Tribolium castaneum: one gene and its partners. The protein of the gene in region 2 purifies or fractionates together with the protein of the main gene of each other region. This does not show direct contact. Links are inferred from orthologs where the notes say so. Each region holds a gene or a part of one and is shown on either strand. Other genes may lie near its edges. The genes, in order: pont, Nop60B and H/ACA ribonucleoprotein complex non-core subunit NAF1.

The links.
Region 1: the proteins of Nop60B (region 2) and pont purify together in Homo sapiens (affinity purification with mass spectrometry; 4 studies listed by BioGRID and IntAct, counting the BioPlex papers as one, with this or other methods). This does not show direct contact. The link is inferred for Tribolium castaneum from reciprocal best matches to the Homo sapiens genes DKC1 and RUVBL1.
Region 3: the proteins of Nop60B (region 2) and H/ACA ribonucleoprotein complex non-core subunit NAF1 purify together in Homo sapiens (co-immunoprecipitation; 7 studies listed by BioGRID and IntAct, counting the BioPlex papers as one, with this or other methods). This does not show direct contact. The link is inferred for Tribolium castaneum from reciprocal best matches to the Homo sapiens genes DKC1 and NAF1.

Annotation. Positions count from the first base shown.
Region 1 is NC_087395.1:13,829,120-13,840,198, forward strand, and holds pont (ruvB-like helicase 1), read right to left. Parts: upstream 5,430-11,079; 5' UTR 5,350-5,429; coding exon 5,209-5,349; intron 5,159-5,208; coding exon 4,855-5,158; intron 4,800-4,854; coding exon 4,537-4,799; intron 2,001-4,536; coding exon 1,338-2,000; 3' UTR 1,312-1,337; downstream 1-1,311. Other genes in the region: Gp93 (endoplasmin), read right to left, coding at 829-918, 970-1,015; Abcd3 (ATP-binding cassette sub-family D member 3), read left to right, coding at 6,024-6,145, 6,198-6,437. UniProt on the Homo sapiens protein: Possesses single-stranded DNA-stimulated ATPase and ATP-dependent DNA helicase (3' to 5') activity; hexamerization is thought to be critical for ATP hydrolysis and adjacent subunits in the ring-like structure contribute to the ATPase activity.
Region 2 is NC_087394.1:7,763,657-7,774,739, reverse strand, and holds Nop60B (H/ACA ribonucleoprotein complex subunit 4), read right to left. Parts: upstream 6,212-11,083; 5' UTR 6,108-6,211; coding exon 6,095-6,107; intron 5,939-6,094; coding exon 5,790-5,938; intron 5,743-5,789; coding exon 5,526-5,742; intron 5,472-5,525; coding exon 5,217-5,471; intron 2,528-5,216; coding exon 2,253-2,527; intron 2,181-2,252; coding exon 1,837-2,180; intron 1,781-1,836; coding exon 1,738-1,780; intron 1,692-1,737; coding exon 1,551-1,691; intron 1,496-1,550; coding exon 1,424-1,495; 3' UTR 1,303-1,423; downstream 1-1,302. Other genes in the region: P32 (complement component 1 Q subcomponent-binding protein, mitochondrial), read left to right, coding at 7,227-7,428, 7,474-7,624, 7,672-7,865.
Region 3 is NC_087399.1:2,908,637-2,919,582, reverse strand, and holds H/ACA ribonucleoprotein complex non-core subunit NAF1, read right to left. Parts: upstream 7,032-10,946; 5' UTR 6,863-7,031; coding exon 6,784-6,862; intron 6,735-6,783; coding exon 6,327-6,734; intron 5,202-6,326; coding exon 4,958-5,201; intron 4,910-4,957; coding exon 4,435-4,909; 3' UTR 4,307-4,434; downstream 1-4,306. Other genes in the region: fibroblast growth factor 1, read left to right, coding at 7,752-7,864, 8,424-8,647, 8,688-8,989; fibroblast growth factor 1, read left to right, coding at 9,169-9,393, 9,477-9,692; Polr3E (DNA-directed RNA polymerase III subunit RPC5), read right to left, coding at 10,533-10,925. UniProt on the Homo sapiens protein: RNA-binding protein required for the maturation of box H/ACA snoRNPs complex and ribosome biogenesis.

The DNA of each region.
Region 1 (11,079 bases), on a different chromosome or scaffold from region 2:
ATTATAAAGATTTCACCGTAATACTACTTTCGTTTCATTTCGATGAAAATTTTCAGTATTTTTTTTAATAAAAATAATTTTTGCAGCAAGCACAATTACGCCAAAGTTTTATTGTAAAAATGAAGCTGAATTTCAATGCACAAACGATGATTTAAAAAGACAATTAGAATATTTAGATGTAAAAGGACCCAGAGAAAAATACCACAACCCAGTCACAGAAAATCAAAGGTAAACTGCAGTAAGTATATATTTTTATCATATGAGGTTACATAAAACAAGTTAGTTTTACTTTATCATGATAACGTAATAAAAAACTAAAAACATTTTGACACCGTGCAGCCTAAGAATAATAAAGATAAAATACTAATCAGGTGTTATAACAATTTCGTAAAAATCAAATTAACGTAACCAACAATCAATAGGACTAATAAAAATTTAAATAAAAACATGGTCGAAAGTTCTCTGAAAAATTTATAAACATATGATGAATAAAAATGTCAATACCCGTCACTTATCTGGCAAATTTAACAATATTTTAACACAATTTACCCTTTTTTAACATTTGTTCATAGCACTCCTGACCACGCTTTTATGTAGACGCCCCATATGAACTACGTCCAATACAAATAAATATGTCAATTTTTCTGTAAATATTTTACGATTTGTAGCTAAATTAACTTTAAATAAATGCATTTTTTACAGATATGGCTGGTATCAAGTGCAGTTAACAGATCTGGACAGGTCCGACAGACGACTCCACTTTGCCAAACAAACAAATCCAATTGTGAGAGAACACTTAATGAATTATGAAAATATACGTTAAATTACCTGTTCTTGACCCTTCTCTACTAGCCCCCAAGTCCAGGTCAACCTTTTCCACGGTTCCTTCCCCAATAGATTCATCTGCTCGTGTGTATCCTAAAATTATTAATTGAAAACAACTCAACCCCAACTAATTTTTATATTTACCGATTAAAAGCAGCAAACTTATCGCTAAAACAATCAACTGCTTCATGTTTTCAACAAAAATGGACCTTTTTAATTCATTCAGAAACAACACCGGCACAAACGTGACACCACAAATCAAAACCAATTTCCGAATGATGACAAGACCGGATTCTAGAAGAGTTTACACCGAAATGTGTCCAATCAGCTCGCACCACGCTGGATGACGAAAGAGTTTACTGTCCTCTCATCCAATCATAGAGCGCAAAATCATCACATATACAACTGGCCGGTTTGGATTGGTTTCACGAAACGCGCCAGGTTTGAATCTAGCCAGGACTGGAGTCAGCCCAAAAAAACACAAAATATCAAAAAATGGTTTATTTAAAAAGTTACATCATAAATTTTTCTTTGTTATCGGACAAGATTCGAGCCGAAGACTTAGCATCTAAAAATAGAGAACTAACTTCTTCAACGTCAGCTTTAGTAATGTTATCTCGGCCGTTAGTTTTGGCCGTTAAAGACGCGGGAGTAAGTAATTGTACTGCGTATCTTAATGTGGCTCTCGATCCCACATCGCCCAAAGTCGAAAGTGCCTCCGCTTCAATTTCCAAGCCTTCTGTGGAAGCTCGCAATTTCAAAATTTGTTCCAACTCAGATCTGGAATATGGCAACGTGCGAATTATTACCAAACGGTCCAAGAGATCCAGTGGAATCCCGTGAGGGGCCACAATGTCATCAGTGCCTCTAATTACACAGCGCCCTCTATTTGTTGCAAAAATAACGATGGGTGCAATGGCACTTTCTAAAGCTCTGTGTAAATAAGTAAAAGTTTCAATATCCAACATGTGGATTTCATCAATAAAAAGTACACCGGGAACTAGCTCGGCTATGCCTTGGTCAATGTATTTATCAACGACTTTGTTTATTTCACGCCGAAGTTTATCGGTGATTTCGGTTTTCTTTGGTTTTAAAAGTTGGCCCATCATCGAGAGGACGTCTTGTCCTCCTTGAGGCTTAGCATTTGCGGCGTCCAAATCGTGGAGAGTTACGTCCTAAAAAAATGTAAATCAAAGTAAATAATTTGTTTCTTACTTTTTCCACTCTCTAAAGCAATTTTATTTTCTTTGCGGCCACTTCCTGGTGTAATTTGGGTATAATTCGCTGGTGTAAGTCACTATTTCAACAATTCTAACCGATTCAAGAGTCACTAAGATATTTTAGAAATTTACACTAGAGTGTGGGCGCTAAGAAACTGCACGACTTTTATATACGTAAATTGGACTGAAGATTTTAAAATATTTTTTTGACTTATATACTTATTTGCATAATTCTCCAGAATGTGCTTCGCAATTAATAAACAAAAAAAGCTCAAAAAAGTAAAAATTCATTGATTATCAAGCAAAATTAAATAAAAATAAAGTGCAATTCATTTTGTAAAAATACGAATTTATAAATTCTCAATTTATAAAAATTGAAATTGCGCTAAAGTAATAAAGCAATAGCCTTTAACTAGGCTAAAATAGCACATTTTTTAGATACACATTGTTGAATTTTCCGCTTATTTTTAAAAAAATTCCTCACATTAATTGCTTTCCCACCTGAACAAGAGCTAAAAAAATCGAAAACAAAATTAGTTTTAGTATAATTTACCGATTTTTTTGTTCCATCTTAGAAAAATATCTCGCAATAATTGAGTTTTTAAATCGAAAATATGTTTTGAAAGCTTGAAAGAGGCCAAATTACCTTGTTTATATATTTCTTTCATTTCAGTATTTCTTCCACTTATTTTTGACGAAATTTCGCGACATAATTACAATGCCTTGACTAGAAAAACCTATCTAAAATGTCCATAAATAAAATGGGACACATAATGTCATTGATTACCTAATCTAAATCTCGAAAAACAACGGGATTTTTAACAAAAAAGTAGTTAAATCCTCAAAAAAAGAAAAATATATCACCATCCTCAAATTAAAGTGGGTTTATTCGGCGTATTTTTGACAAGATTCTTTCAAATAATTGCTTTTTTGCCTACAAAATCAAAATAAATTTTTTTTGACTTAGTTATTAACTTTTATGCGAGTCTTTAAGTCAAAAAAATGCTAAAATAAAACACATTCTTTAACGTAATGTAGAGTTTTTTTAATTGAGTTTCTGACTAAAATTTTGCTAAAGACGTTTAACATAGTTTGATGCAGACGAAATTTCTCGAAAAACATTTGTCGTTTTCTGCTTGTCTAGCGAAAGCAACTAAGTTTTTAGCCTTAAAAAGTACATTGTGATCATTTAAGTTTATAATTAGAGTAAGCTTTATTATTACTTTTTTTGAAAACGCTGATTAGTGTAATTAAAAAAGCTGAAGAATATTATTTATTTAGACTACAATTTTTTACCATAGTTTGGACCAGTTCCAAAGAAAAAAAAACTAGCACAGTACTTAAGCACTTAAAAAGGCAAATGTATAGCACATTCACAATGTAAAGTGCTTTTTTTTCGGCTTATTTTTAAATTTAATTTCCGGGAAAAAATGAGTTTCTAGTTGAAAAAAAAAAAAAGATAAAATAATCAGATTTTTTACTTTTGGAACAGTTTTAAATACAGTGTGATTCAAAGGCAGGGGACAATCTCTGGGGTGCTGATAAAAGACATCAAACTGAATTAAAAGTTCCTATGACAAAAAAGTGTTTGAGTCTTTTTTCACGAGATATAGCTCTTCAAAGTTAAATTTTTAAGTTAAATTATTGGTGCATCAGATGATATTTTTTTTGACTTTAGTTAGCGGAAACGAAATTCGATATCATAGCAAACAAAATAGCAAAAATGGATACCTAAGGAAAACAGTTTAAAAATATATCAAAATTACTTTGCTTAAAAAAATTTGAGTTCATTTTTGTGCTTAACTAAACTTCGTTTTTTACTATACGAGCGTTTATTCGTCACTTTTGAATCACGCTGTATAACACAATGCGGTGATGTATTGAAATTATTGTGTTTCCTTTGAAAACAATTTGGTAAAACTCAAAAATGGCAAAAACAAGGTTTTTCACATAATGTGAAATTTTGACCAAACGTCTCGAAAAAAATTATTTCTGACCACAAAATGCTCGAGAAACGTAAACATAATGTAATCTTAAGATTGATTAATATAATTTTGCTAGATTAAGCGAAAACTAAAAAAATACTAAAAAAATCAACTACCTAAAACCGTAATAAATTTTAAAAGGGTGAACAATCCAGAGAAAATGTAATGTTGGTGGCATTTAAATTATATGAAACACCCTGTATAATTGCGTTTCTGGATAAAAAAATTGCTAATACTCCACAAACGTCAAAAACAATGGGCTTTTTGACCATATTTAATTATTTCTGCAACAACTTTACGTGACAACACCAATCTCTTAAAAATAACTGTCACAAGTGTAAAATTGTCTTAAGACAAAAATAATGTATGTGTGAGTAATTTAGCAATTTTTCAAAAACATGATTAAATTTTGTTGATTTATTTGTACTGTTCAGTTTGTCTTGAAACTTGAAAAAAAACACGGAGCTACCGTTTATCCAAAAATATTAAGAGCGGATTATACATACTTGAACCACCTCCTTCTTTTTGTGAACTTCCCCCTTTGGAAGCGGTACATATTCCTCAGCTTCTAGATCAAACTCAGTCGCATATCCATCAGATCTGCCTTGACGCTTAACAGCCCCACTATTGGCTTCAATATAAATAACGTCACCTACTTCGACTTTTTCCTTCTGAAGGGCTTCATAAATACTGGGGTCGAGTTTCAGTTGTTTGCTACCTTTTGCAGTTTTCAGGCCAATAATTACATGACTTACTGTCTTTCCATACCCTACAAAACCAAAAGAAATATATAGAACATTGTCAAAGTGTCTAAAAACTAAAACCTCCAGCAGGATTCTCCGTTTCAACAGGAGTCAATTCAGTAACTTCCCCCTCATAAACCTCCTTAGTCTCCCTAATGCGCAGCCCTATGGCCCTCCGGAAATTCTCCATCAACACCTCCGTCTTCTTAATCTCAGAACTGTAAACCTCGGACCCCACCATGGGGCAAAAGGGCACCTTATTACCCAGTTCTTGCGCGATGGCCAAAGCTATCGCAGTTTTACCGGTCCCAGGGGGACCCGCTAGAAGCACAGCCCGTCCGGCCATTTTCTTACTCCTAATCATATCCACCACAATCCCTGCGGCCTGAAACCACTGAATTTAGCCGAACTCTGATTAAAAAAGACAAACCTAACCTCCCTAGCCTGTTCTTGGCCGACCAAGCCGGCCGCTGTTGGCAACGCGAAACCATTCTCATCTAACCCTAAACCTTTAATGTGGCTGTGGGCACTTATTCGTTGCGTTTTCACCGTACTTTTCACTTCTTCAATCTTCATTTTTGGAAAACACGCTAACCAAACTTTGCTTGATCAATTTGAGTTTTATTGTTGTGATGTTGGTATGGCAACAACCGGTTGGAGAATTTTGGAGCGTTGGGGTGGTCATAGTGACCATTTCAAATTCATTTTTGATTAAAAAATCGTTTTTAATATTCTGTTCGAACTCAGCAGTCACAAAGTGATTTTTGAAATGTTTCATTATAATACTATGACCTAGTCAAATTTTAAAGAAATTGCGAATTTAATTTTACATTGATCGAGTCACCTGAGACACCTGAGAAATGGCATGTCAGCTCAACATGACAGAACGGCCATTTGTCAATTATCACAAAATGGAAAACTTTCTAATTTTCCTTTAATGAATCCTTTCGATTTTAACGATCGGTTAATGCATTCCACAGGTGAGTATTTGGCGTGTTTGTTGTCTCTTTCTCAAATTGCGGCTGTCCCTGTCTTGCAGGTTCGGCCAAAATCATGTGATCGGTCGAAGCTCCAATGACAGTCGCTGACTGGAGCTCAGTAAAATCAGTAAAATACTTGGTAAAGTCTGCTTAAACGTTAGGTGTCAGTGTTTGTGGATGAGTGAGTGGAAACAAATACAATTGATCGGAAAACTGCTTGGTCACGATCACTCAATACTTCTTGTGAAAAGTGCGAAAAGATGAAGTAAAATGGCACCCAGTTTTAGCAAATATGTGACAAGAAACAATGCTCTTGCAGCCGCTGGAGCATCGACAGCTTTATTATGGATTTTAATATCACGACGAAGAAAAAATTTGTACAAACTGGACAGGTATGAAAATTGACCCCACTTCGAGACTTGTTTGACTCCGGTTTTGTTCTAGGAGAAAAGTCAGGAAAACCGTGGATGAAGAAGTGAAATATTTTATATCTGAGAAGAAAGAAAATAGGATTAAGGCGCAAGTTGATAGGCAATTTCTTAAGCAACTTAATCACCTACTTAGAATAATTATCCCAGGATGGACTTCACCTGAGGCGGGATTTCTATTCCTTGTAGCTGCGAGTTTAGTGGCTAGATCTGTGTGTGATTTATGGATGATAGATAATGGAACGAAAATAGAAAGGTAAATCGAACAATGAGTTGTTGGTTACTTCAGTTAAGGAAGCTTAGAGGTTATGTAATTGCATTCCGAATCTGAACTTTATGTGATTAAGTAAAGGCGTCAAATATTTATGCCGTCTTAGCCAACGGTTTTGGTAGAAATATTTTTGCTTTTTTACCGTGTTATCATCGTGACTGGATATTTGTATAAAGTCACCGATTTAATTAAAATTCATTAACCTTGAGGGGTTCATTATCTGTCTGAATCTAAAGAGGAAAAATACCACCAATATTTTACCGTTGTGATATTGCTGTTGACACAGCTTTCACCCTACAGTTGGTATTTTTTTAATAACACGTGTTTCATAAATTGCTTCGCATTGCCATTATGTAATATTTTGTTTCCTTGTATTGGATATCTGTATACAGACCTGGATTATTCATTGCGATTTTTTATGGTAAACATACGTAGAGAGTTGCTAAGCTCTGAATGACGTAAATGTATGCATTGTGCATCGTTTTTAATGAGAATTGTGCTCATTTGCTGATGGAAATTTTATTATTTTAATGAACTATGTACTTACCTTTCTCTCAAAACAATCAAGATTAGAGATTTTGTTTAATTACGTTACGGCAAACGTGTCTTATTGACAATTTCTAAGTTTTGAAAAAAAGTACAGACGGATTTAATATTAGCGAATAAATTAGAAATTATCATTGTGTTGATAGCAACAACATAAAAAAGTTGTGATAGCGTATTGTTTACAATGAATTAACAGTTTTGGGGAGTAAAAATTATTACATCGAAATAAATTATATTTTGTCCTAATCGTTACAGAACTAAAACATTAAAATACGTGTCATGTAATTGTAAACTGAGTTTGTTGTTTTTTTTATAAATCATTTACATGAAAATTGTTACTTAATGAATGAGAACTTTACAAATGTGCGTTTAAAAATGACTTCAGATAATTACTAATTAGATAGGTATATTATTTAGGAGGTTGTAGTTAAATTCTGCTCAAAAAAGTACGAATGAAATGTTAAATTTTTAATTTAATGAGTGCAGAAAACCATACGAGTTTTACAAGGACACATTGTCTAACAAGTTGATTACATTTTTTTATAATGGAACAAAATTAATGAATCTCATGGACTTTGAACCATGAAGAAAAGAATTACTATTATTATTTTCGATTTTAAAAGACAGGTATTGTAAGAGTACTAAAGTACGTGTATCTATTAGGTATTTTATTTCGACACTTTTAACATTTAACATGAGACTTAATGAAAATTAAATACATAGTACTTTATTAGTTGTAAATTTTCGTAAATTTCGGTGTGTAAGTATTTGTAAAATTTTGCAAAATAGATTACTTTTCTGTTCCAAAATAGTTCTCACATTTAGTAAGATGCACGAGATATACGCCTATTATTTACTCGTTTCTTACAGTACAGTTTCTAAACTACATATTTTTGTTAGCTACCTGCTTTAGTACGAAATGCGGTTGACGAAGAAAAACAACTATATGGTGCTTCTTAAATTTATTAAAAAATTGTTATGCAAATACACACAAAAACTGTATGCAATATCAATTATTACTACCACAACAAACGAATTTCTTGTTTAAAAATTGACACCAGCCCACCTGCAACTGATTCTCAGCCTACGAATGTGGCATTTATCATGGATAACCCTTTTCGGGGGCGATTAATGATTATGGATGATTGTTTAAATTACTGCTTGTTTAATACATATTCAGAACATTTTCCATTTTATAGTAATACTACCAGGTGAGCAATCTTATCGACCACCTAAGAAAGTCGAGATTTCTAGTTAAATAAAAAAAATATTGTATTTTACACGCCTGATTGTAAGGTATCGCCCCTAATTTTTTGGTAATTTTTCACTTACAGATAAAGATAGTAATTAAAAAAAAAGTAATTTTTGACCAAAAAGTTAAATTCTGAATTTTATACTAAACCACGCGTATTTTATAAGGTTGCCTCACCCAGTATGTAAATTGCAATAAAAAAAATTTGATATTGAGTTCTATTGGAATGTGAACGTTTAAATAAAAATAACTAACTAAAAATTGTTATCTTGGCTAGAGAAGAGATCCGGAACAACTTTATAAAGTTTTAAACAGATTGATCTGGATTAATAAGTCCCTTTTTGAAATCGTCACAAAAATCATCGTTATCGATATGAAATCCCGTCTATTAAGTTTCACGATATCGATGAATTTCGTCTGTACACAACATTTGTTTGGGTCACTGTGTCGACCACAATGACGATATCACTTTGCAATTAGCAACATGGAAACCAAAGCACTTATTAATACGATTTATTATAAATAAGTACTCCTTCCTCTAGTATTTATGGTGGGTAGTACGTTTTTTTGAATTTTTCATTTTAGAGTATTAGAAAAATACAAGTTGGTATTAAGATTTTGATAAAGGAAACGCATTGTTTAATCAAGGCCGTTGAATATGTTTTGAATTGGGTATTGAGATATCCATTTAAAAGTGTAAAATATTCAGAATTGATAATTTCACAATGACAAAATAAACTAGAATGGCAAAAAAGAAAAATATTAATTGACATAATTTTGGGCTTAACACTCTGTATACTCGTACTTACCTCAATGTTTATCAATCGTATTATGATTTATGAAGTATGCTTTGTGGAGAAATAAATATTTAAATACAGAGGGTCGAGTCAAGTCTCAAATGGTGATAAAAAGTTTAATTGTTTTTCCGTAACCACTGTATTAATTATTCTTTTGTTGTCGTATTTAATTTAGGTATTATTGAGTTTGGTATGTAGTTCTGCCTGTTTAATGTTGGAAGATCTACTGCTTAATTATAAATTGAGTTTTCACCTCGTAAAAAAAGTTTAAATCATTTTTGTATTAGAAATTTTATCTCAGATGTGTTTTAACACCACCCAAGCGATGTTCCGGGGGTCTCTGAATCACACTGTATTAAAAAATGATTTGAACATTTTACTTTGAAATATTACGAAAATTTCAAGCAAAGATTTTGAAAACGAAACATAATTTTTTATTAAGTTATCAATGTTAATGATAGTGTATTAATAATTGATACAATTCTGAATTGTATGCTGGGTGAGGCAACCTTATTGCATACCCAAGAAAATCGCTACTTCTAATGAAATGAGAATCCTGAAATTTTACTCACCAGCTTGTATATTGATAAGGATCATTCTCGATTTTTTAAAAATTTTTTGGTAATAAAGTCGTAACCGTTTTGTAAGTTTTTGGGCACTAACTGTTAATTTAACTATACTTTAACTATACAAAGTTTTGAGACTAAGTGTATTCTTACCTGCTAGTCCATCGAACCCTGGTATCAGAATTATAAATTTCTACTTGGTTGATTAAATAATCGGCCAAAGGGATCACTTACCATTAGCCGATCTTTTTGATGTACCTTATTTACAGTCTTGCAATAAAATTGACAAAAATTGATGTCTGCATTCAAATATCCCAACGAAATCTTTTACAATCCTACCCCACTTATTACAGTTCACATTGTCACCTAAATTTACGACGCCACAAGTAGCAGCTCATAAATAAAACTGATTTTTAAAGTTAAAGTGTAAAAGTGCGTTTAATTCAAAATCTGATTGGTATTTTTTTCGCTAATTTCGTAAACAATTATCTGAAGTGAATATGCGTGGTTAAGAATAAACTTCAGAATCTAACTTTTTGGTCGAAAATTGCTTTTTGGTTAATTATTATCTTTATCTGTAAGTAAAAATTACCAAAAAATTAGGGGAGATACCTTTCGAGAGTACAGTCAGACGTGTAAAATGCATTTTTTTATTTTACTAGAAATCACGATTTTCTTAGGTGCGCGATAAGCGGTTTATGTAAAAATGTGTCAAGTTTTCAAAATTATTAATTCTGCAACTTGAATGTTTATACAAATTATTTTGGTTGTGAAACTTCACATTTTCTGAATTTATCACCAGAAACAAAATTAAGACGTCTTTTTCCAGCGTCAAATTATACACCTTTAAATCTAAGCAATTTTATTTTGTTTTTTTTTTTTCATTTTAAAGTTTCCATACAGTTGACTATTGTATTTTTTTGTAATCATAGGCGTCATAGGTATGCAGAGTCCTCACAGTTTTGAATTTGAAATTTAGAAAAGCTTTGTAGGATAGAAGAACCCCAATACACTATACCAGGTGTATGAGAAATACGTGTGTTAATTTTACCACGTAATAAAACTCATCATCTACCACAATTTTTCTATACAGACTGCTCAAAAACTGACGCACCAACTCAGTAGTCGTTTCCTAATAAAACGATAAATAATCATTTTTAAATTTACTTTTAGACTTTAGCAGATTTTTTAATTTAAAAAAATTAAAATTCAGCAAAAAATCATCACAGTTTGTAGATGTGCCAACACTGGAAATTATTTCCTAGGAAATGGTTTCAAAAGTAATTTATTTTTATTGTTGATCAAATTCTATTGCGATTACGACTATTTGACCACGTTGCCACATATCATTTATTTAAAATGCGTTATTTACCAATTACTTTAATACAAAGATTTTTTTTTACTATTTTTACCTTTAAATGAAAGTAATTCTCTACCACACCCCATTGAGTTGGTGCGCCGATTTT
Region 2 (11,083 bases):
CAGTTTGGTATTCGCCCCCTCGTAACATGTTTGATATTATTTCCAATGGGAACCTACATTTTATCATAATCAGGAAGATATATTTTTTATTTTTCGTACATGTATTATTTTTATTTTGAGAAAATAATTTTTGTCAAACGCATTCCACTATCGTCTTTTGTTTTCGACTTATAAACAAAAATTGACATTTTAGCGAAATGTCAAAGACTTCATAAATGCACCACCCTGTTACTTTTACTAAAAATTATATTGTTTAAAAACATGTCAAATTAAAAAAATTATAATTATAAAAGTTAATAAAGTCTACAGGGTGATCTAAAAGTGTCGAACCAACTCTCATATATTTTTTCAAATATACTTGCGACTTAGTTGCAATACATACAGCGTGCTCAAAAACTGGCGCACCAACTCAATGGTGTGTGGTAGAGAATTGGTAACATATAAAGGTAAAAATAGTAAAAAAATTCTTTGTATTAAAGTTATTGATAAATAATGGATTTTATATAAATGATATGTGGCAACATTGTCTAACAGTCATGATCGCAATAGAATTTGAGCAACAATAAAAATAAATTATTTTTGAAACGGTTTCCTAGGAAATAATTCCCAGTGTTGGCACATCTACACATTGTGATTTTTTGGATGAATTTTAATTTTTTTAAATTAAAAAAACTGCTAAAATCTGATAGTAAATTTAAAAATAATTATTCATCGTTTTGTTACGGAACGATTACCTGGTATGAAACATAAAAATATAAAAAAATAATGAAAACTAAAGAAGTTAACACAATAAGTTTGTAGCTCCAGATTTTTTAAAATATAACTTTGGGAATTTTTTCAACATTTTTCCCGTAATCTGTACTTGCTTCTCAATAACGTACCACTGAGTTGGTGCGCCAGTTTTTGAGCACCCTGTATAAGAATATTGTTAACGTCAATATTTGTTATAAACACTAGGCAACTACTTTTATTAATTTCTTTAAATGTGACAATTTTTTAACAATTTTTAGTACATGTTTATATCAAAAAACCTAGTCCTCCAGACTATGAAAAAAATATATAAAACAGAAAAGTAAAACCATTATCAATATTTTTTTGATTTCATTGTTTTATACTTACTTGAAAGATGGAGTATTATCGAAAAAAATAAAAAATGAACCATTACTCAAATACCAGTGTCATAAATATTACTAAAAATGTACCATTTCAAAAAAAATATAGAATTACCAAACTGGACACCCGGTATACCTACAAATTTCTTGCACTTGTACCACTACATCAAACTGGAAAAATCAAAGCCTGTACGATAAAATTGCATTTATTTTCGCTTAACACGACTGTGTTTATCTTAGAAAGAATTTAAACTTAATTCTATTAATGTAGTATTGTAGAGCTACAATATAAAAATGCAAAACAAAATAGTTCATTCCGCTTCCTCTTCCTCCCTATCTTTACTCTTATCCTTTTTCTTTTTCTTCTTTTTCTTTTTTTCCTCCTGTAAGAATAACAGTGCAATAGGTAATTTAATAATAATTGATTGTCTCATTTACCCCATTATCTTCAGCAGTTTCCTCTGACACTGCTGTCGCTTCTTCAACAGTGCTTTCCTCACCTTCGACCTTCTTCCGTTTCTTCTTCTTCTCTTTCGGACTCGCTGTATCGGACTGCATTGACGTGTCCGCTAATTTACGCTGAAAACAAACAATGAATTGCTCATAAAACGAAAAAACGTCTTACTTTTTTATCATCTTCATCGTCCTTGGTGTCCTCTTTCTTAACACTGGAAAAAAATTATTGAATTGTTTTTAAACTTTGCGCAAAATTAAAAACACTTACGAATAATCAACGTAACTATTTAGCCATTCTTTGGGCGTATTTTCGTTCGGTTTTCCGTATTTGTCGAGCTGTCCTTTTGCAATAAGAATTTTTTTCTGGCTTGTTCGTGGTCCCAAGCCCCATTTTCTTGGATAAGTGTCTCGTTCCATTATCACACGTTTGATTTTCGCGACAACTCCGTGGTCACAACTGGCTATTGTTGCAGTGGTCATCAGTGCAATCCCTAGTGCTATGGCTTCCCCTTTAGTGGTCACAATAACAATTTCTTCGTTAAGTTCAATATTGTCTTCATAGCGTAAAATACCCGGTAGCAAAATTTTAGCTCCATAGCAAACCGCGTTTACCTAAAATTATGCCATTTATTGTAGAAAAGTTTTGTTTGTTAATTGATAAGTTAGTGGGAAATTATGTATTACCGAGCTGTCTTTCATAATTATCCTTTTGTGTTTGACCAAAAGGCCTTCCAAAGGCCGAATCACTCGTCGCAGGTAATTCTCATCTTTGTGATTCTCGTAAAGCCATTGAGCGTCTAAAACATCATGCATTGTGGCCATTTGATCTTGTTCGCTCTGAATTCCCGAACGAACTCTTCGAAGTTCCAACATTTGGCCTCCAACGCCCAAAACCAAACCCAAATGAACACACATTGTACGAATGTAGGAACCAGCCTCGCAACTAACCCAAAACACGCCTAAAATAATGCATAATAATTAAACATTTTCAAAGTTTAAAAAAGACAGGACTAAAATTAGGCCCTTTAGGCATCCAAACTGTTCTAATTAACTGTTCTAATCAGTAATAAATTCGATTTTGATGAGTAAAAAATAATAAATGATCAGTGTATTTAATTAATTTTTGCACATTAATGAGTGGTTTAATATTTTGCACAGTAAAAAATTTAAATGAGAAGTAAACCATGCACAGTATCTATTTCAGTTTGCACAGTTTAAATAATAAACGCTCATTACCTAGCATCTATCATTTTTACTGTTTACTATTTATTAATTTTACTGTGCATTTATTATTTTTATTGTGCATTTATTATTTTTACTGTACATTTATTATTTTACTATACATTTCTTATTTTTACCATGCCTTTATCAATTTATCATTTTTTCTGAACAAAAATACTTGTTGTTTAAATAAAATACTCTGCATTTAATTTATACCCTTAAGTTAATGCAATTTGAAAAAAAATAGGGGAATTAGTATTTTAATTTTTGCTAAGCTGGGAAAAATTGAAGGTCAAACTTTCCACGAGAACATAAGAAAAAAAAATACAAAGTAGAAATAAATGTACACTTGGCATTATTTCTTTATTTATTTTATTTAGTATTTATTTTTCAAGAATTTTAGCACGTTTTAGGTGATTTCCTTGAAACATTTTGTGAAACTGTACGAAAACATACTAAATTATAAATCAAAAATGACGTTTTTGTCTTTTTAAGCGATTTTCAGATTGGTTTACGAACTTTTGGTAAAAACAAGCCAAAAACCAGAAAGTTTGATGAAACTGACAATCTTCTGCCTTCGTCAAAACATACTTTTTCGAATATTTTATCACGTTTTTGAGTTAAAACTTTCTGTTTTTTATTGTAAAATCTTGTCAAACTGTGTCAAAAATTCACTAAAATAGACGTGTTCTTCATTTCTGTGACAAGTTTGAGACCCAATGTCACAAGTATTTTACGAAATTATAAAGATAAGTTAAAAAGTACAAATTTCGAGCGAAATTCAGACAATGTTTGAGCTAAACACGTAACTGTTTCTCTAAATTTTGCCAAATGGCGTTATTTTTGTCTTTTTGAGACTTTTTTTGGGCGATCGTCAACTTCACCTTCACAAGTTTTATTAACTTTGTCAGGCAACTAAATTGGACCAAACAAAAAATGATAAATTTGCCTTTTTCGAACACGTTTCAGAGATAGACATAATTTATTTCATGAAACTGTCTCAAAAAAAGTCGAAAAATCACAAAATTCAATAAAAAATTACACCATTTTGTCGTTTTCTAAAGGTTTAGCACGTATTATTTGGGGTTTACGAAATTTTTCACCTTCTTTGAGTACGTTTCAGATACAGAAACTATTATTTCACAAAAATTTTCCCTAAAATACTAATTATAAAATTTTTCGGGCCTTTACGCCCATTTTTTAGTTAAAAACTTCTATTTTCTTTCGAAATTTTGTCACACTGTTTATGAATAAGACCAAAAATGACGTTTATTGCCCTTTTCAGGCGCGTTGGGACCCAGAAACGCAATTATTTTATGAAATTTTGCCTAAAATAAGCCAAAAAGTCACTAAACTCACTCAGAAATGTCTTTTTTCGAAAGTTTTAGCTAGTTAAATTAGTCCGAAAATGATTTTTTTACTTTTTCACGGACGTTTTAGATAAGAAATAGTTATTTTTCGAAATTCTGCACGATATAAGTCAAATAATGACTAAATTCTGTTAAAAATAACATTATGCTTTTTACTAGCAAATTTAATATTTTTCGAAATTTTGTCAAAAATAAACTGAAAAGTCACTGTTACGCCTTAAAAATGGGGTTTTCTGTACAATTTCCCAGTTTTCTTGACACCTTTTTTGAATTAAAAATTTACAATTACAAAATAAGAGCAAAATTTTTTAAACCCAAAAAACACAAAATTTTGCAAAAAATAAACCGAAAAATTACTAAATTCGGTTGCAATTAGTGATATTATTTCGCCTTTTTCAAAAGTTTCATAATTAATTTCTCAAAAATTCATCAAAAATAAACCGAAGTCACAGGTATTACAAGTAGATCCCAAATGGTGTTATTATGACCTTTTTGAGATTAAAAATTCATTAGTTTCTTTTATGAACCTGTACCAAAAATCATTAAGTTGGACTAAATATTATGTTTTTCACCTTCATAATAATAATTATTTCTCAAAATTTCGACAAAAATTAATCGGCCACCAGAGCCGCAAATCTTAGGATTATTTTTGCATTCTTTGAGAGAACTGAAATTACGTTTTTTGTCTTTTCGAGCACATTTCAGGCGCAGAAATGCAAATTTCCACAAAAATTTGCCAAGATTAAGCCTAACATCACTAGTTTCAGACACCTTACAAAGTTATTTCTCGAAATATCGTCAAAAATAAATCAAATACTTACCGATATATTGATATATATATTTTTTTTCAAGCATTTTAGCACGTTCTGTAGTTAAGAAGTTATTTTTTTTTGCAAAATTTTGTCAAGCTGTGCCAAAAAAATCAATATTTTTTACTTTTTCGAGCAAATATTTCACGAAATGATGAAAAACGAAAAATCGAAAGGGTCATTATTTTGCATTTTAGAGCGTCGTGTTTCTCCAAAATTTTAGTCCTTTGTATTGGTAAAAATCTTACCCATATTTCGGCTTTCATCATATTGGAATAATTTGCTATCATAGACCGTGCGAACCCTCAACTGTCTCTTAACGGCCGAAATTAATGGGGGTCTTTGAAACAAGGCCCCTCGGAGCTTCTCCAACCCTTGGAGCACTTTTGGGGTCCCTCCCTGTACAGTTGAATGCAATTTAAACACAGCCACGTACTCTTTCCCTGCAGCTTGCTGGGATTTAACCAGTCTGGTAGCGCGTTCAATGCACACAATTAAACAACCTTAAATCAATTATTAAATATACATGATTTCAATTAAATTAAATAGTTTAATACCTGTAACTTTCGGATCTAAAGTACCCGAATGACCTGTTTTTTCCACTTTCAAAATCCTTTTAATCCAAGCTACAACTTCGTGACTGCTTGGATTACTGGGCTTGTCCAGGTTAATGTAACCTGACTTAACATAATCGGAAATTTCCCTTCGTAAAGGGGAAGAACCAAACGGCAAAGGTACGTAATGGTTCGTTCTCACATTCAAACGGTCAAAATACTGCAAATCACGCTTTGATGTAACGAAAAACCGAATTTAAAACCCACCTTTAACAACAAGGGCCACTTGGAACTGTCCAACTTTGCAATCACTGAGGAGGGCTCCACTGCAAATTCGGAGCCTTTTTGAAGGTTCCCCAAGTCTTTGTCGCCCTTGCTTTTCTTCTTTTTCTTCTCCCTAACGGGCGTATCCGCCTCTGCACAAAATTGCGTTCTAAATAACGATAAGACAAAGCGGCCGGTTTTTTGAAAAAAATCATTATTTTTGAAACTCTAAATACATTTCTACCACTAATTATTTATCAAAGAACGAAATAAAGCCTCGTTAAAGATAATAATAAACAATAACTTACCAAACTCAGACATCGCTTAGAAAATAACCAACACGTGCATCCGACACAGAAAGTAGGGTTAGTTTTTTGACAACTAACAACAATTTTGACAGATTTTAAGTGGCGCTACTGAAAAAAATTTAAATGAAATAAATGGCGGGAAATGTTTTTTCGGTTATTTAGAGTCTTAAACGATTTTTCTTTTATTTTTTTTATTTTATTTTGGTAAACATTGGCGTTTTTATGCGCTGTAATCGGTGTTTAAAAATTTAAAAAATGTAAAAATTGCAATCTTTTTTTTTGTGTTTTTTTTCGGAAACACTGAGACTTAGAACTAAAATCAAAAAAGCATCAGATAGCGCCTAAAATTATCTATTTTCTTGCCAAAACCCGGAGCCGCTTCGGTCAACGGTTCCAGGTACAGAGGCATATAAAGTTTTACATTAAAAAAATATTTATCAAAAACCAAAAGTCTATTGTCCATTTTTTATTTCATTTAAAATTTTGAAATTTTTTGCTCAAAATTTTAATAATCAAGGCACTTACCTTCACAAAAATTAAGAAAAAAAATTTAAACTCACTCTAGCAAAGTTTTACGAACTTTTTGGCAAATAACTCAGAATGTGTTAGTTAATTACAAAACTTAAAAAAAAATGCCAATAGTTTTAGAAGAAATATAACATATGACGCAACTGTAAGTACCCTTCTATAGCTGTTTTTTTTGCAAAATTATATACGGTAACCCGTTTGCAAAATGTAATTTCAATTTTTAGAAGTTGATTACTCTACATTTTTCCAATTCAATCCAGGATTTTTTTTAAATATTAAAAATCGTTCTATCGAAGAGTTTTCTAAATTTTTCATTAATTTTAATTTTAGACCACAAAATTTTAATTACTATAAGAAAACTGGCCAATTATTGTCCGGTTTAACATTTTATCTGGACACCGGACAATCATCTGGGTGAAAACCGGACAGGTGTGGCAACCCTATGAGGAATTTGGTGACGATTTAGTGATTATCGTTTGTGGGTTGGTGCCATTCTGGGGATTTTCGTAGCGTTGGGTTGCGCGTCGCTTTTTTCTGACAGTTTTTTTGATAGCACGTGTTGTGGCCGGTTTTTTCACGCATTTCGCCTAAACTAAGTATAAAAATGAATAATTTGCTTCGAGTTGCGTCCAGACTCAGCTTCAAGACGCTCCTGAGTCCGGTTAAAAAAGTGTCCAACACTTTCCAGCAGCGGCAACTTGCGCGCAATCTTTGGTACATGTGCAATCGCAATGAGTCCGAAAACAAACTGAGCAAGTTGTGCACTTGTGGGTGCATGAGCAGGCACCAGCATGCACACAGTAAAGGTACGTAAGTGAGCCCAATAAGTTGGAGGAATAACAAACTTGTAGCCGAACGTGAACTGGTTGAGTTTCTCACTGAGGAGATTGTCCTGGAGAGGAAGGCCCAGAAGTCGGTGACGCTTCCAGCCGAGCTTGAGGGTTTTAAAGTGGGGTTGAACGGGTCTGAAGTCACTTTGAACAAAAAAGTTGAAAATGAAACGTGAGTCAAATGCGTCTCATTTCTTGTTATGAAGTGGCAACTTCTAGGATAAAAATTACTTTCAATGTGAACCACACAGTAGACTCTGATGAACTACCTAAAGTGGATTCGACGATGGACAATCCAGAATTTGGAGAATTAAAGTCAAAGCCTGAATTTCGAATTGAAATTGTGCGAGGGTCGACCACTTTCAGTGTTTTGTGCTCATTTTTAGAAAGTGATGAGCAAGAGGAAGATTCTAGTAAGACACTTCTGTTTTTAATTCACAAGATTTTGCACAACTTTCGGCTCAAAATCTAATCGAATGAAACGCCATTTGGTGATAATTTTATTCGGTTTTAGAGGATTAAAAAACGCTTCGAACACTAAAAAATCATATATGATAGCATTTTTGTGAAGATATGCGAAATCTTGGAATAAACTAAGCCCTTAGCTGAAAAAAGTTCAACCTGATTTAGCAAATTTTCGGCTTATTTTTCGCAACAAAATGTCCTAAATCCCCCGAAAACGCAAAAAATTGGGATGTTTTAACCTTACTGAAAGATTTTAGGATTTTAGCTCTAATACATCCTTTTTTGGTTAATTTTTGACGATTTTCTTCGAAATAATTAAGTTTTTGACGAAAAAACGTTTTGAAACGCTCAAAAAAAGGCAATAATTAGACAAGAATGTGCAAAATAAATGCGTCTTTGGCTCAATTAAGAATGAAATCGAGGAAATCAATCTCAAATAGAATATCATGGTCAGTATGATTTGGTGTTTTTTTCAACTAGTTTTGGAGGATTGTAATTCGAAAAAAAAACTGCTTTTTGGCGTTGTTTTGCAATTCTTCGGCTTCTTGTAACTAAATTTTGCAAAACAACTGCGTTTGTAATCTAGAAAACCTGTTAAAACTCCCAAAAACAATACAATGATCGTCTATTTTTTATTCAGTTTAGCGAAATTGCGGAAAAAAACACGCTATTTTCAGGCTAGTTTACTGATTTCTCATCTTTTTTCTTAAAAATAATTGTTATTTATGGTCGAAAAACGTGCCAATATGGTTAAAATTGCTAAAAATAATGCCATTTTGACCTGATGCTTTGTTTGGTAATTCTTTTTTGTAACCAAATTTTGAGATAACTGCTTTTTAAAACTTCCAAAAACCAAAAAACTACAATGATCACCGGTCTATTTGTTTATTCAGTTTAGCGAAATTTCTCAAAAAGTACGCTATTTTCAGACTAATTTAGTGATTTCCCAGCTTTTTCTTATAACGTTTTGAAAAATTATTGTATATTTCTTGTTTGAAAACGTGCTAAAATGGTTAAAATTTGTAAAAATAATGTCATTTTGATCTAATTTTGGCTTTGTTTGGTAATTTTTCGGCTTCATTGTGACCAAATTTTGAGAGATAACTGTGTTTTAAAACTCCCAAAAACGCTACAGTGATCACAAGTCTATTTTTTATTCAGTTTATTCAGCTATTTTCAGGCTAATTTACTGATTTCTCATATTTTTTCTTAAAAATAATTGTTATTTATGGTCGAAAAACGTGCTAATATGGTTAAAATTGCTAAAAATAATGTCATTGTGACCTAATTTTGGGTTTGTTTGGTAATTCTTCGGCTTTTTTGTAACCAAATTTTGAGATAACTGCTTTTTAAAACTTCTAAAAAACCACAATGATCACCAGTCTATTTTTTTATTCAGTTTAGCGAAATTTCTCAAAAGTACGCTATTTTCAGACTAATTTAGTGATTTCCCAGCTTTTTCTTATAACGTTTTGAAAAATTATTGTATATTTTTTGTTTGAAAACGTGCTAAAATGGTTAAAATTTGTAAAAAAATGTCATTTTGATCTAATTTTGGCTTTGTTTGGTAATTTTTCGGCTTCATTGTGACCAAATTTTGAGAGATAACTGTGTTTTAAAACTCCCAAAAACGCTACAGTGATCACCAGTCTATTTTTTATTTAGTCTATTGAAATTTCGTTATTTTTAGGCTGACTTAGTGATTTCACAACTTTTTTCTTTTGTTTTGAATATTTCTGGTCGAGAAACGTGCTAAAATGGTAAAAATTATGTCATTTTGATCTAATTTTGGCTTTGTTCGGTAATCCTTCGACTTCTTTGTAACTAACTTTGCAAGATAAATGCGTTTCTTGTTTATAAAAACTGTTAAAACTCCCAAAAACGCTACAAGTTTAATGAAATTTAGAAAGAATACGTTATTTTCAGGCTAGTTTATTGATTTCCGATGTTTTTTCTTACGTTTTGAAAAATAATTGTATATTTCTAGTCGAAAAACGTACTAATAAAACGGTTAAAATTGGTAAAAATAATATCATTTTTTACCTTTTGCGATTTTTGTGTCCAATTATACGGAAAACTCGCAAACAGATTAAGGTTTTATCTCAGAAACGCGCTTACATGCTTGAAAAAGGTAAAAATACTATTCTCAATAGGTTTTATTTTTGACGAATTTTCTCGAAGTAATTACGTTTTTGTTTAAAAAACGTTTTGGAATCTTCAGTAAAAGTAAAAATAACACCTTTCTCAGCTTTAGTAACGCTTTTATTTAAATTTTATAATATGTTGCCAACTAATTTTTGTAATTTACCTTTATATGTTTTTAAAAGAAAGTTAAAAGATTTTTCATTTAGGAACTGTGTCTATGACTTTGATGAATATTTTCGCTGCAATTTCAGTGACTTGTAGATTTTTTTTTAGTTTGCACGTTTCTTATTTTATTGACGTGTTATGACGCACTGTTTTTAAACACCAATAAAACTATTTCTATTTATTTTACATATGTTTTTTTATATTAGCGAAATTACGCAAAAAATTACCTTATTTTTAAGCTAATTTAGTGATTTCTGAGCTAAGTTTTTTTACAACGTTTTGAAAAACAATCGAATATTTCTGGACGAAAAACGTGGTAAAACGGTTAAAATTGGCAAAAATAATTACATTTGACCTAATTTTGTTTAGCTAGCGAAACTGTGGGGAAAATAAAGAAAAAAATCTCGAAAAGGCAAACATTTTATTATTCTTACCCTTTTATGAGATTTTTGTGTCCGGTTTTACGGAAAACTTGCAAAAAGATTGGGATCTTACCTCAGAAATATGCTTACACGCTTAAAAATGTAAAAATTGTGTTTTTAGTTAGTACAGGTCAATCGGTTACTCTTTTTGTTTTGTTTTTGTTGTTTTTGACGAATTTTCTTGAAGTAGTTGCGTTCTTGCTTGAAAAATTAGACCATTCTCAGCTTTAGTAACGCTTTTACAAGTTTTTTTTTACTTTTATTCGCAATCGGATGCTTATTGTTTTGACCAAATTTTGCAAAATAAATGAAGCGAATAAAACAAGATGAAATAACATTTCATATGGAGATATCTAGATTTGATTATAGCAAAATCCTGCAAAAAGACTGGAGGTTTTAGCTCTGAAACATGCTTACACGTTTGACAAAATGTA
Region 3 (10,946 bases), on a different chromosome or scaffold from region 2:
ACGAGGCGACGGATTGAAAAAGGCTAAGACAGGCAGGGCGAATCGATTAACTAAAAAATCAAAGGAGATTATTAAAAATCTGCTGAATGCTTAAGTTTCTTAAAAGACTTCGCCTTTCGCCTGCGGAGCCGTAGTCCCTTTCAGGGACGCTCTGGGGCTGATTTCATCAGACTTCTTTTTATTTAAATAAATGGAAAGCGATGTGGACAATTTATGGCGTATTGATGAAATGCCTGTGACCGATGAATCAACAAAAAGTTATACTTACAATGAAATAAGAGAAAGTAATATCAATGTGAAAGAACTTGAACAGTATACGCTCGAAACTAATATAAGTGGATGGAAACATTTATCAGGTGCTTATATTTTTGTTAAATCTAAAATTAAAAACAATCCAAATAATTATGCAACTATATCAAATAATGGGATAAATGATTTTGACTATGTGAGACTATTCTATGAAGAGGTATTGATAGAAGAAACACATTATGTGGGCGTTGCTACGTTAATTTCAAATCTGATTGAATTTTCTGGAGATGTTTCTGATACTTCAGCATCACAATTGTGTTGGTATCCAGACACAGCAGATTCAGCAGATACGTCTCAATACAAATATGAGGCGCAAGATAAATCGGTAAAATTTAACTATTTAGACGTTGATATAAAAACTATTATTTCAAAAATCACAAATAATTCTGCATTCAATAAAGGATATTTAGAGAGATGGTTGTTAACAAAAGATGAAAAAACTATTACAAAATTTATTCCTTTATCTAAAATTTACCGGTTTGTACGAGACTGTAACAAAGTTTTGAATGGAAAAATTCGCATTGAATTACGTAAAAATAGGGTGAAAATTGATAAGACTCTTGAAAAAAATCGATACATCCGATTTGGTGATATCTCCCGAATTAGCAATCCGGAAACGACCAGCATAATGTTGGAGTTGGAATGTGGTGAAACGGTGAAACTAATATTTGGAGCCGCACAGGCGAAAGAAGATTTTTATGAAGCAATTACTGTCATTAGGTAAAATCCTTATCAACAGTTACTAATTTTTACAAGTGGCTATAAAGAAAAATATACATAAACTTTGTATGTAAATGAATTTATGAAATTTTTTATGTATAATTTTTTATCTGCGTACTTGTTTTTTTTTCAGCTCCGATTCTGGAAATTCTGAGTAATAATAAATTTATTTTGTTACTTACTTGATATAATAAATTAATGTGTAAATTATAATATATTTTTTTGGCCTCCAGTACTGTAAAACGTGAATGACAGTTGCCCATTTATAAAAGGTAACTTGACCTTTAAACACGATGCTGTAAACTGGTAGCAAACAATTAGGTAAAGTAACCACAAAACACTGGACGATTAGACATGTTTAAGGTACAAACCGTGCTTACCATAATTAAGTTCGTATAACGAAATACTTGTTACCTATAATTATTTAATTCAATCGACCATGGTGTATATTTAATTAGTGAAAATATAAATCCCCCCGGAACAGCGCCACCTATACATACGTTTGGGAACCACAAATGTCATTGATTCAACCAAACCAATTCGAAATTTTACACAAGTTTATCATTCGGCGTATTATTAAAATATTTGGATAAAATGTCTGTAACATGGTATGTGAGCCTTGCTAGGATATTACCGCATTCGAGTGTAAATAGCTATTTTAATACTGTCACGTAGTGACTGGGGGTTTGCTCAGAGGTAGGGCGTCTTAATAAAAATACCGAGAGGTCTAATCAACAAGTTTACTTACAGACTAGTTAACAAGTAAAAATAAATGTCAATACAGCATGCCTACCTTTTTGGGGCTAGGTCTTTCAGGACGAAGTCCCAGCTCTTGGCGGCCCACACGCGAATCCCCGATAATTAATATTAGTTTAATAGCGAGCCAGCAAAGTGCTGACTCGTCTTAACAGCGACACACATTTTCGTAACAATACACTGTTGAAAACCAAATTTGTTTGGATATATACAGGTGTCCCAAAATTCGCGGAACAGCTGAGTGGTAGGTTAATAACTGATGCCCTGAAGTGGGCCAATAGAAAAATAGGGCAAAATCTTTGAAAAATGTTAATTTTAAAATATACCTTTAAAAATGGGGGTGTTTTCACGATTTTTTTTTGCTTTTCTGCTTACCCTTGAAAATCGGGATATTATAACGATTTTCTTTGCTTTTCTGTTCACCCGTGAAAATCGGGGTGTTTTTATGATTATTTGATGTTTTTTTAACTACCTGGAAAATCGGTGGTGTTTTAACGTTTTTTTTTTTGCTTTTTTGTTTACCCTTGAAAAGCAGGGTGTTTTGCTTGAAATTATTGAGTGTTCTGAAAGGGCTGTCTTCGTACCTTCAAATTTTAGACTTTTTGATCTACCTTTTAGAATTTTGATCTACCTTGAAAATCGAGGTGTTTTACCTTAAAAAGTGCTGTGTCCTCAAGGGGCTCACTTAGTAGTCTCAAAGTATGCATTAGCAACACCCAAAGCGTGATTATTTTTTGTGTTCTCGTAAATGTATCGTTTATGTGCAATTTGCCGCATATAATGTTATATGGGACAAGGAAAGCAATAAATAACGTCGTTTTCGATTTATTTATTGGCATCACACAGGGGGATAGCAAGCAAGGGAAGCAATAAAATTAATGATTAGAGAGAGTATGCCGTGCTACAATCAATTTAATTGGGGTAGTGGCTCTGAATTAATCCAGGACCGGACAATCTAATTTAATTGGGAATTAATAATAAGTTGATTACACGAAACCCTTTGGAGGGTATTGATCAAGCGATAAAACATTGCGTTTTCGGGTAAAAATTCAGGCCGAATCGGTCAAACTGCGGGGGAAATACCGGGGCAGGAAGTGGCTATGCGCTATTTTAGATAATTTCAATCAACAAAAAATCTACGAAAAGATAAGGACAGGGAAACAAAGCTCGGCTTAGTTTCAAAATTAGGGTAATTTTACCATTATAGAAAATACGCCAATAATAAAAAATCCCAAAATTTCACAGCAATAAATGAACAATAAAAAAAATTAAATAAAACAAATGTCTCAGAATACCATTTTTTGAAGGTCCCTGCCAATGGTGGAATTTTTTCTTTCAGGCATCGATTGAAAAATAAAACAAAATTATTTTCAGCTTAAAGAAGTTTCTAGCTAATTAGTAACAAATATTTTAAATTTTTGTTTGTGTGAAATGGTTTAAAAAAATAATTTCTACCAAAATTTTGGTAGAAACCAAAAAATTCTTTGCTACAACCTATGTAAAATATTGTAAATAATGGAAGTTCTCTGTTTTATTGTTTTCTGCTGCACAAAGCTTGTTTCCCTAGTTGTGGCAAGGCGAAGTACAAAATTCAGTTATTTTAAGTCACTTGAAACTAGTGAGTCGCAAATTAGCATAACTGGCTTAAGTGTCCATTTCGATGTGTTTCCGATAGGCAACAAGCTGCCGATTTGAATATAAAGCGTGAAAATGTGGCATTTTCCGTCCGAAATCGTGAGAAATGATCAATTGCGATTCGCTCTCGCGCTCATCTTTCACCCATTGAAGATAATCTCGCGGTTATTATTAGAAGTTGTTGAATTTTGACTAGACCGAAGACAATGAAGAAGGTCAAAGCGCACAGCAGCGCCGGCCTTCATTATGTAACAAAATCGATTTTTAAAATTCAAAATCGTTTACAATTTTCAATGGAGGTCAAACGCGCGTTTCCGCATCTGCGATGACCTTATTGGTGACAATATAAAAGATACCGAATCAGCGCAAAATAATTCTTTATCAAAAAAATCGACTCACGTCTCCTAGCAACTGAATCCCACCACGTGGAAGAATTTTTCCAGCTCGCGGGAAAACACAACACACCGTTTATAGGAAAAAACAGCTGATTTTTCACGGTTACCTAGCGATAATAGAACGAAGCGGGACATTTCGTCGCGATCGCAGTAAGCCGTGGTGTGCGTATCACAGCCTGCCGCGACTTGGAGAAAGTTTCGCGGCGCAAGGGATGCCAACACAAATGTTTATTAGAAGTAATAGACAATCTACTGAACAAACAACAGTCATTTGCATGGAATGAAACTTTTTTCTAAAAAAGAAGCTACTTGAGGTTTAAAATTCCTGTTTCTGAGTTAAAGGCAACACTTTGCTCTTTCAAGCCCGTTGAGGTACAATTATCGTGGCTCCTGGCGACCTGTTCTTGTTACATTACACTTAATCACAATTCTTTACTGCCACCAATTGCAATGACAGCTGTCGAAGTTAAAGGCGAGATTGAAAAAAAACAAACTTTTAAACGTTTATTAGAAATAATAGAAACAAGTTGCGAAACACAAATCAACTGAACATTCTCAATTATATGGTAAAACAACAACAGTCTTTTACATGGCATGAAACTTAGAAAAGTCGAAATTCCTATTGGTGCGAGGGCCCCGGATGGTTCAGATAGCTTGCGGAGTTGCTAACGAAATTATTCATGAAAAAATTTGGAGCGAATCCGAGACTAGGGCCCATGTTGTTGTTTTCGACGCCAACGTACTGGGCGATGGGTTGGTGGTAGTGTGCCATGTTGGGTGGCGGCACCGATGGGTCGAACATGGGCACAGCCGTGTGGATGTTGGGTGCTTGTGGCCGTTTCGATTTAGCTTTGTTCAAGCGCGCCTGCTTGTACGAATCCATGTATTTGTTAAATTTCGTATTGAGGATGTTCTTTCGGTTCATTGTCGTCTCGAATTTTTTGTAATTGTCGCTACTGTGGGTGCGTTTCACGTGAGGAGCTAGTTTTTTATTACCGTATCGCTGGTAACACTCGTTTTCGTCGTCGGAAAAATCGGCGAACTCGGGGGGGACTTCCGTGTCGTCCATCCAGGAAGCGTCACTACCTTTCATTCTATAGAAAAAAATTACTATTTTTTACAGTCGGGTTGTTATGACTCACTTGAGCAGCTGTTGAAGGAAAACGTATTGTGTGTGCTTGCTTGTAGGTGCGGAATAGACTTTTGTTCCAATCTCAATTTGTAAATTTTTTATGTCTTCAAGTGAATTGAAACGAATGGCATAGATAGGGGAAGTGACTTGGCCTAAAACGTCGAAAACGAAACCTAGAGGTCGCTTGCCGTTGTCTAGGAAGAGGAGCGTATCCAAGTCGTACGCTGGAGTGTTTGGAAGGGCCGCGATAGTTACTGGAAAAAATTAACGCAATTTTCGATTTTATATTAAGATAAATAAGATTATAAAAAATATGTCAAAAACAAAAGAGAAAACAAGTCGGGCGCTTAGAAGGCAAATTAATAAATTAATAAAAGTAAAGAAATAAAACTACAAAAGAAGTTAAGTGGTAGTTCAAAAACCAACAAAATTTCTCAAAAAAAAAATTAATTAATCGTAACAATTTTGGATGAAAAAGCTAAAATAATGTTCTCGAAAGGGCACGAATTACACCATTCAAAAAAATCAACTCGTATTATTAATTAAAAAAATTCTGATATGTTGTAAAAAAAACTCTACATTTTAATATAACAGCGCTTTTTCCTCAATAAATAAATAATAGATATTAATAGATAGTGCAAAGAGATAAGAAAAGTGGTTTTTCATAGTAGAAGGAACACGTCATAAATGGAAAATAATCAGTTTTCCTGATGACTGATGAGTCAAACACTAAATTTTGTAAATTTAGCAGATCTCAAAATTTTCAATAAATATTTTATTAGCATATTTTTTCGATAATGTAGATATGTAAACTGCAATTTATTATCGCCAAAGCTAATTCAAACTTTATGAATATTTAACCTTGCCTAAAAGAAGCAATTTTTAATTTTACCTGAGGTTTTATTTTTTCCATGGTTAAGTTAGTTCTAAGCCAGTTTGGTAATCATAATTTTACGTGAAAAAAATTAATTAATTAGTTAATAGTTAACACACAAGGTTTGTATTCAACTTTTTGTTTGGCTGTAGATATTTATTGAAAAATCAAAAATATTTTTTGTTAGACGCCCCAAGCACAGCCTCCTTGATTGATGAAGAATTTGAAATATTCTTGAAATTATAAAACAATAACTTGGGTATTTTATTTTGCAGTAAAAAAACACAAATTTATATTCGTGGTCAGTTTTCCAGTGATTATATTTCAGACAGCGGCCAATAATGTGTGCAAAACAATTTTATCGCCGATTTGATCCGAGTTTTAGTAGAATTTAAGTTGTTAATCACTTGATAAATATTCTATTTACAATGAGCCTTGCATTGTTACCGATTTGAAACGATAACAGTAAATTACGTCAGAACCCATTACTGCTGTTTCATTTTACCTAACTTATCCACAATCCCGAACACATTTCCCATATGCACAAAACTCTCATTTTCCACGTTAATTTGAAGCGATGACAAGTCCGGAACCGGGGGCAAATGTTCAATCCCTAGTTCATCACTGACTTTAGGTGGGCTTTTCTTAATAGCCCCCTTATTTTGTGTCGTTGTTTCAATGGGCTGTGAGTCATCGTCATCATCATCGTCCCCACTCGTTTCACTGTCCTCCTCATCCTCCGAAGACGAAGACGAGGAACTGGACGAGTCCTCGGACCCCTCCTGAGCCCTCCAATTCAGATTAAGCTTCATCATTTCGGAGGAAGAGCTCGAGTCGCTGTCATACACCAAAAGACGGTCCAGTGCATCAGATTCGATGTTTTTTATTGCAACACCCGTATTAGCTTCACACACTGGAAAAAACGCGTGAAAACTGTGCCTAAAACTGCTATTTTGCACTACCACTAGTGGAATTTGATAAATTCGTTGCGTTTTCTCCCTGTTGGTTGTCCATGTTTTCGCACTTATTTTCGTTTGACATGCTGTGAGGTGATAAGGGATGATCGGAATTTAACGTAAACTAACAATTAATCACTGTTATGGTAAGGAATACTGCGAACATTTAAGCGGATTTTGCGATTTTACTGCCATGTGGATGTTCTCATGTTTGCTAGCCGCCATTTGCAGTGGAAACTTTCGGCACGTGACCCAATTTGCGCCTCGCCATTGGCCGGCCTTCAAGGCCAGCTAAAGGGGCGCTTGCAACGATAGTGCACGCCACCCCTTACACAATCACTACTTTTACAAAAAAAGCGGACAATATTTACTATAATCCGTCTATAGTCTGTTATAACGCATTAATAAATGTGCTAATTATTATGTGTATGAGCATGAGCCATTCCGAAGAATATCTAATACCTAAAGAACCTATGATCCTATAATGCAATAATTAATGTTATAAACAATCTAACTGTTCAAATTGTTGTTGAACTATTTAAAGAATTATCTTTTATGGGTAGGTGCGGTCTTAAGAATTTGGTATCTGTATATTCACACAAACAGTTTTTGTGTTAGCTTAGGCAACCAGCAATACTGGTGACAATAAATAAAATTATAATCGATTTATAAATCTACTCTTGTTATCAGCGGCTCCTGTCTTGATAACAAGCTACCGTCATCATCCTGGGCACAAAAATTTAAGGTAAAACATCAAAAATTTGTGATTTATGATCGTCTCGTAACCGCCGAATAAAATTCTATTTATAACCGCGGAAAATTAGAAATTAGAAGTAAGAACGCGAAAACAGTCGAATTTTAAACACGTCTGAACTAATTGACGGAAATTACGGTGTTTTGCTTACACCGGCTCAATTTTTGAATTGTTACAAACGTGTGCCCATTGTTGGTTTTAATTAACAATCGGCAAAAACATGGAAAACGGGACTAGTGACAGTGATAGTACCGATGTTGAAAGTTTGAGTGACAGTGATGAGATCGATGAAGGAAAAAATGTGAAAAATAGGACGAAAAGGGGAATTGCGTGGTGAGTTAATTAATGGATTTCTGTTACGAATTCCAGTATTTTTGAAGTGATTCTATATTTAAACATTGATTGAGAAATTGACTCGGAAATGTAAATATTTATAGACTTGATTGAGTTCCCACACCTAAGACTCAAGTTTGTAATAAATTTTTGATTGAGTTAAAAAAATAACAAATTAATTTTGACGGTGAATCATCGCTTAATTTGTTGAATTATTACACTTCATAACGCGACTTTTATAGCACCGTTACTAAATTACATAAATCAAGGGCTAATTGATCAAGATAATAACAGACAACATTATATACAAAACGGTGAAAAAAATAAGGAACAGAAGAAATCTTCCAATTCAAAATAAGAAAGTTGGATGTAGCACAAAATGTACTATAACATTCAGAAAAAAATTAAAATTAAATTATTGCTGCATATTTATGAATAACCCTGTAGGTAAGTTAAGAAACGTATCATCCTTGTTGTTTTTGTCAAAGTTTATTACATAATTTAATTTTAATAAATTTTTATATTTGCAATTGCCTTAATAACAGAAATTTTTGTGCAGGTGCGGAGTGGAGGACGCTCCCAGTTCACACGCCTCTATTTCCGCGCCCCAAATTTCCTGGCCCCCCTCCAATCCCAACTCAAACTGGCGCCAATTGCGCCCTGTCCACTTCGGAAACCCGCTTTTCGGCACAAAAATGCAGCTCTATTCCAGAACTAGACACAACCTCGCCGTTTATCCGGACGGCGAAGTGCGGGGAACCCCCGACGACGACGACTTGCACAGTAATAAAAATTGTAGAAAAAATATAATATGCTTTTGCAGCTTATTTGGAGGTAATGTCGGCTGGGCACCCGGGCCACGTGCGCATTAAGGGCCTTTTGACAAACCTCTACGTCGCCATGGACCCCAAAGGGCGCTTGTACGGGGAGCCAGACATGACGGACAATTCTACCATTTTTATCGAGGCGTTTCAAGGCTCTTACAACACCTATCTCTCCCTAAAGTACGCCCATTTGGGGTGGTACATCGGGATAAAAAAATCGGGGAAGTTCAAGCGCGGGCCCAAGACCAAGTACGGCCAAAAGGCGATCAAGTTTTTACCGCGCAGATCTCGCTTTCAATGAAAACAGTATTAGCATTTGTTATATTTTTTACTCACATTTGTGTAATATTCCACACGTGACTCATTTTTAACAATAAATATTGGCAGATTTGTAATTTCGTTTCATTTTTTTATTGTTTCCTTGAACTGATTTCAGTGTTTACGTTGATTACATCGAAGTGTGAATTTTAGAAGTTGAAAATGGACGAAAAGCCAAGCTGGCATGGGAATGTAATGAGACTCAGGTCCGAAAATGGGTTTAATTTGACCATACAAGATGATGGGCACGTTTTGGGCACAAGGGATGATAATTTAGACAATGTCCTGGTTGTTAGTTCAAGTGGGGAGATTTCCCATGTCAGGATTCAAGGAGCGAAGAGTAAACGGTATCTGTGTTTTGACGATTCGGGAAATTTGTACGCGGAAGTAAGTTTGTTTCGCAAAATGAGATCGTGGACCAACTTTGTTATTAAATAATTAAACAATTTTTTGAAACGATGCTTTCATAGGAAGACAAAAATAAAGACGGGGCCATTTTTAAAGAAATCCTTCAAGGTTCGTACAACGGATATGTATCAAAAAATCATCCGGACTGGTACATTGGGATTAAAAAAGATGGGAACATGAAGAATGGAAAACGGACGCAGTGGGGCAAAAAATCAGTGAAATTTTTGCCCAACAGAAATGTATCGGAAGCGGAATTGCAACAGCTAGACTCCAGTTGATGTTTTAAATAATTGAGTATTTCTACGTAATAAGTATTAGCAGATGTTTAAGCAAAACCTTGAGCGATAGCTCCAAAATTAGATTCGTCTATAATTGTGAGAGGAAGTCGGATTGGCATAAATTTTAACTAGAATTTGAATTTCTTGTTTATTGGCGGTTTTACTTTGTAAAATTTTATTGTCATGTCAACGCTGTCCAATTATGTTTTTTTTCGAAGGCTAGGAAAAATGCTGGATATTAAAAAAACAAATGCAGTCACACAAAAGTTAGATTATTTATTTTATTGAAATAACGAAAGTTAGACATAATTCGTCGATTTCTTTATGTTTTCTAGTGAAATTTCTTAAGATAAGGAAGTTATTGACTCAGGTACGAGCTGAGTCATTGGCTGAAATCACCTATACGCACAAAAGTATTTGTTGTATTTTGTATTTATGTTTCTTTATATCTTTTATTTATGTATGGTGTTACATATTGTTTTTTTGAATATATTTTTGAATTCGTAACTTTTTAAAACCTCGCAAAATAAGTGAATTACTGGCTCAAAATTTTTAAAGTAGCGCTCAAAACTTGATTTAGCGAACTTTGGAGACAAAAACTGTGGAACTTTAGCTAGGTCGAGGATGAGAGGAGTGTATGTGTAAAAAAACAACTGATTAAAAAAGTATTTCTTTATTTCGTCTTAATAATAAATTAATTTAACATTTTGCAGCTTTCTCGTTTCCAACGAATACAAATTACAGTCATTTAACGAGTTACATTTCGCATTTTTACCTGTATTCCCGTCCCGAGATATACAAATCCTCATTATAGCCATTTCAACTCGTCGAAAGCCCCAATCACGACGTATTCTCCTGCACCTTGGCAATTTTTTTCCTAGCCGCCACCGGCGATTTATTTTTTTCCGTCCCGGAATCATTATCCGAACTCACTCCGTTCCGCATTTTACAATCTTCACTCACACTTTTACTCTTCCGTCTTTGCCGTTTATTGTCTTTTAAAAACTCACTCAACTGTTTAAACTTCTGTTCCCACGCCTCGCCCTGTCTTTGCACTATATCGCCATGTTTCAAGATAAAATCGTTATCAGTGGGCAACACCAACTCCCAGCCTTTATTATGACGAAGACGCGAGAAGCCCGTGAAGATTTCCTTCACCTCTTCCGAGGGGATCTTCATCACCGAGGAGACCTTTTTCCGCTCAACGTACTGATTTTTAGTGAATAAATACAACTGGAAGAAAACACTGAAACA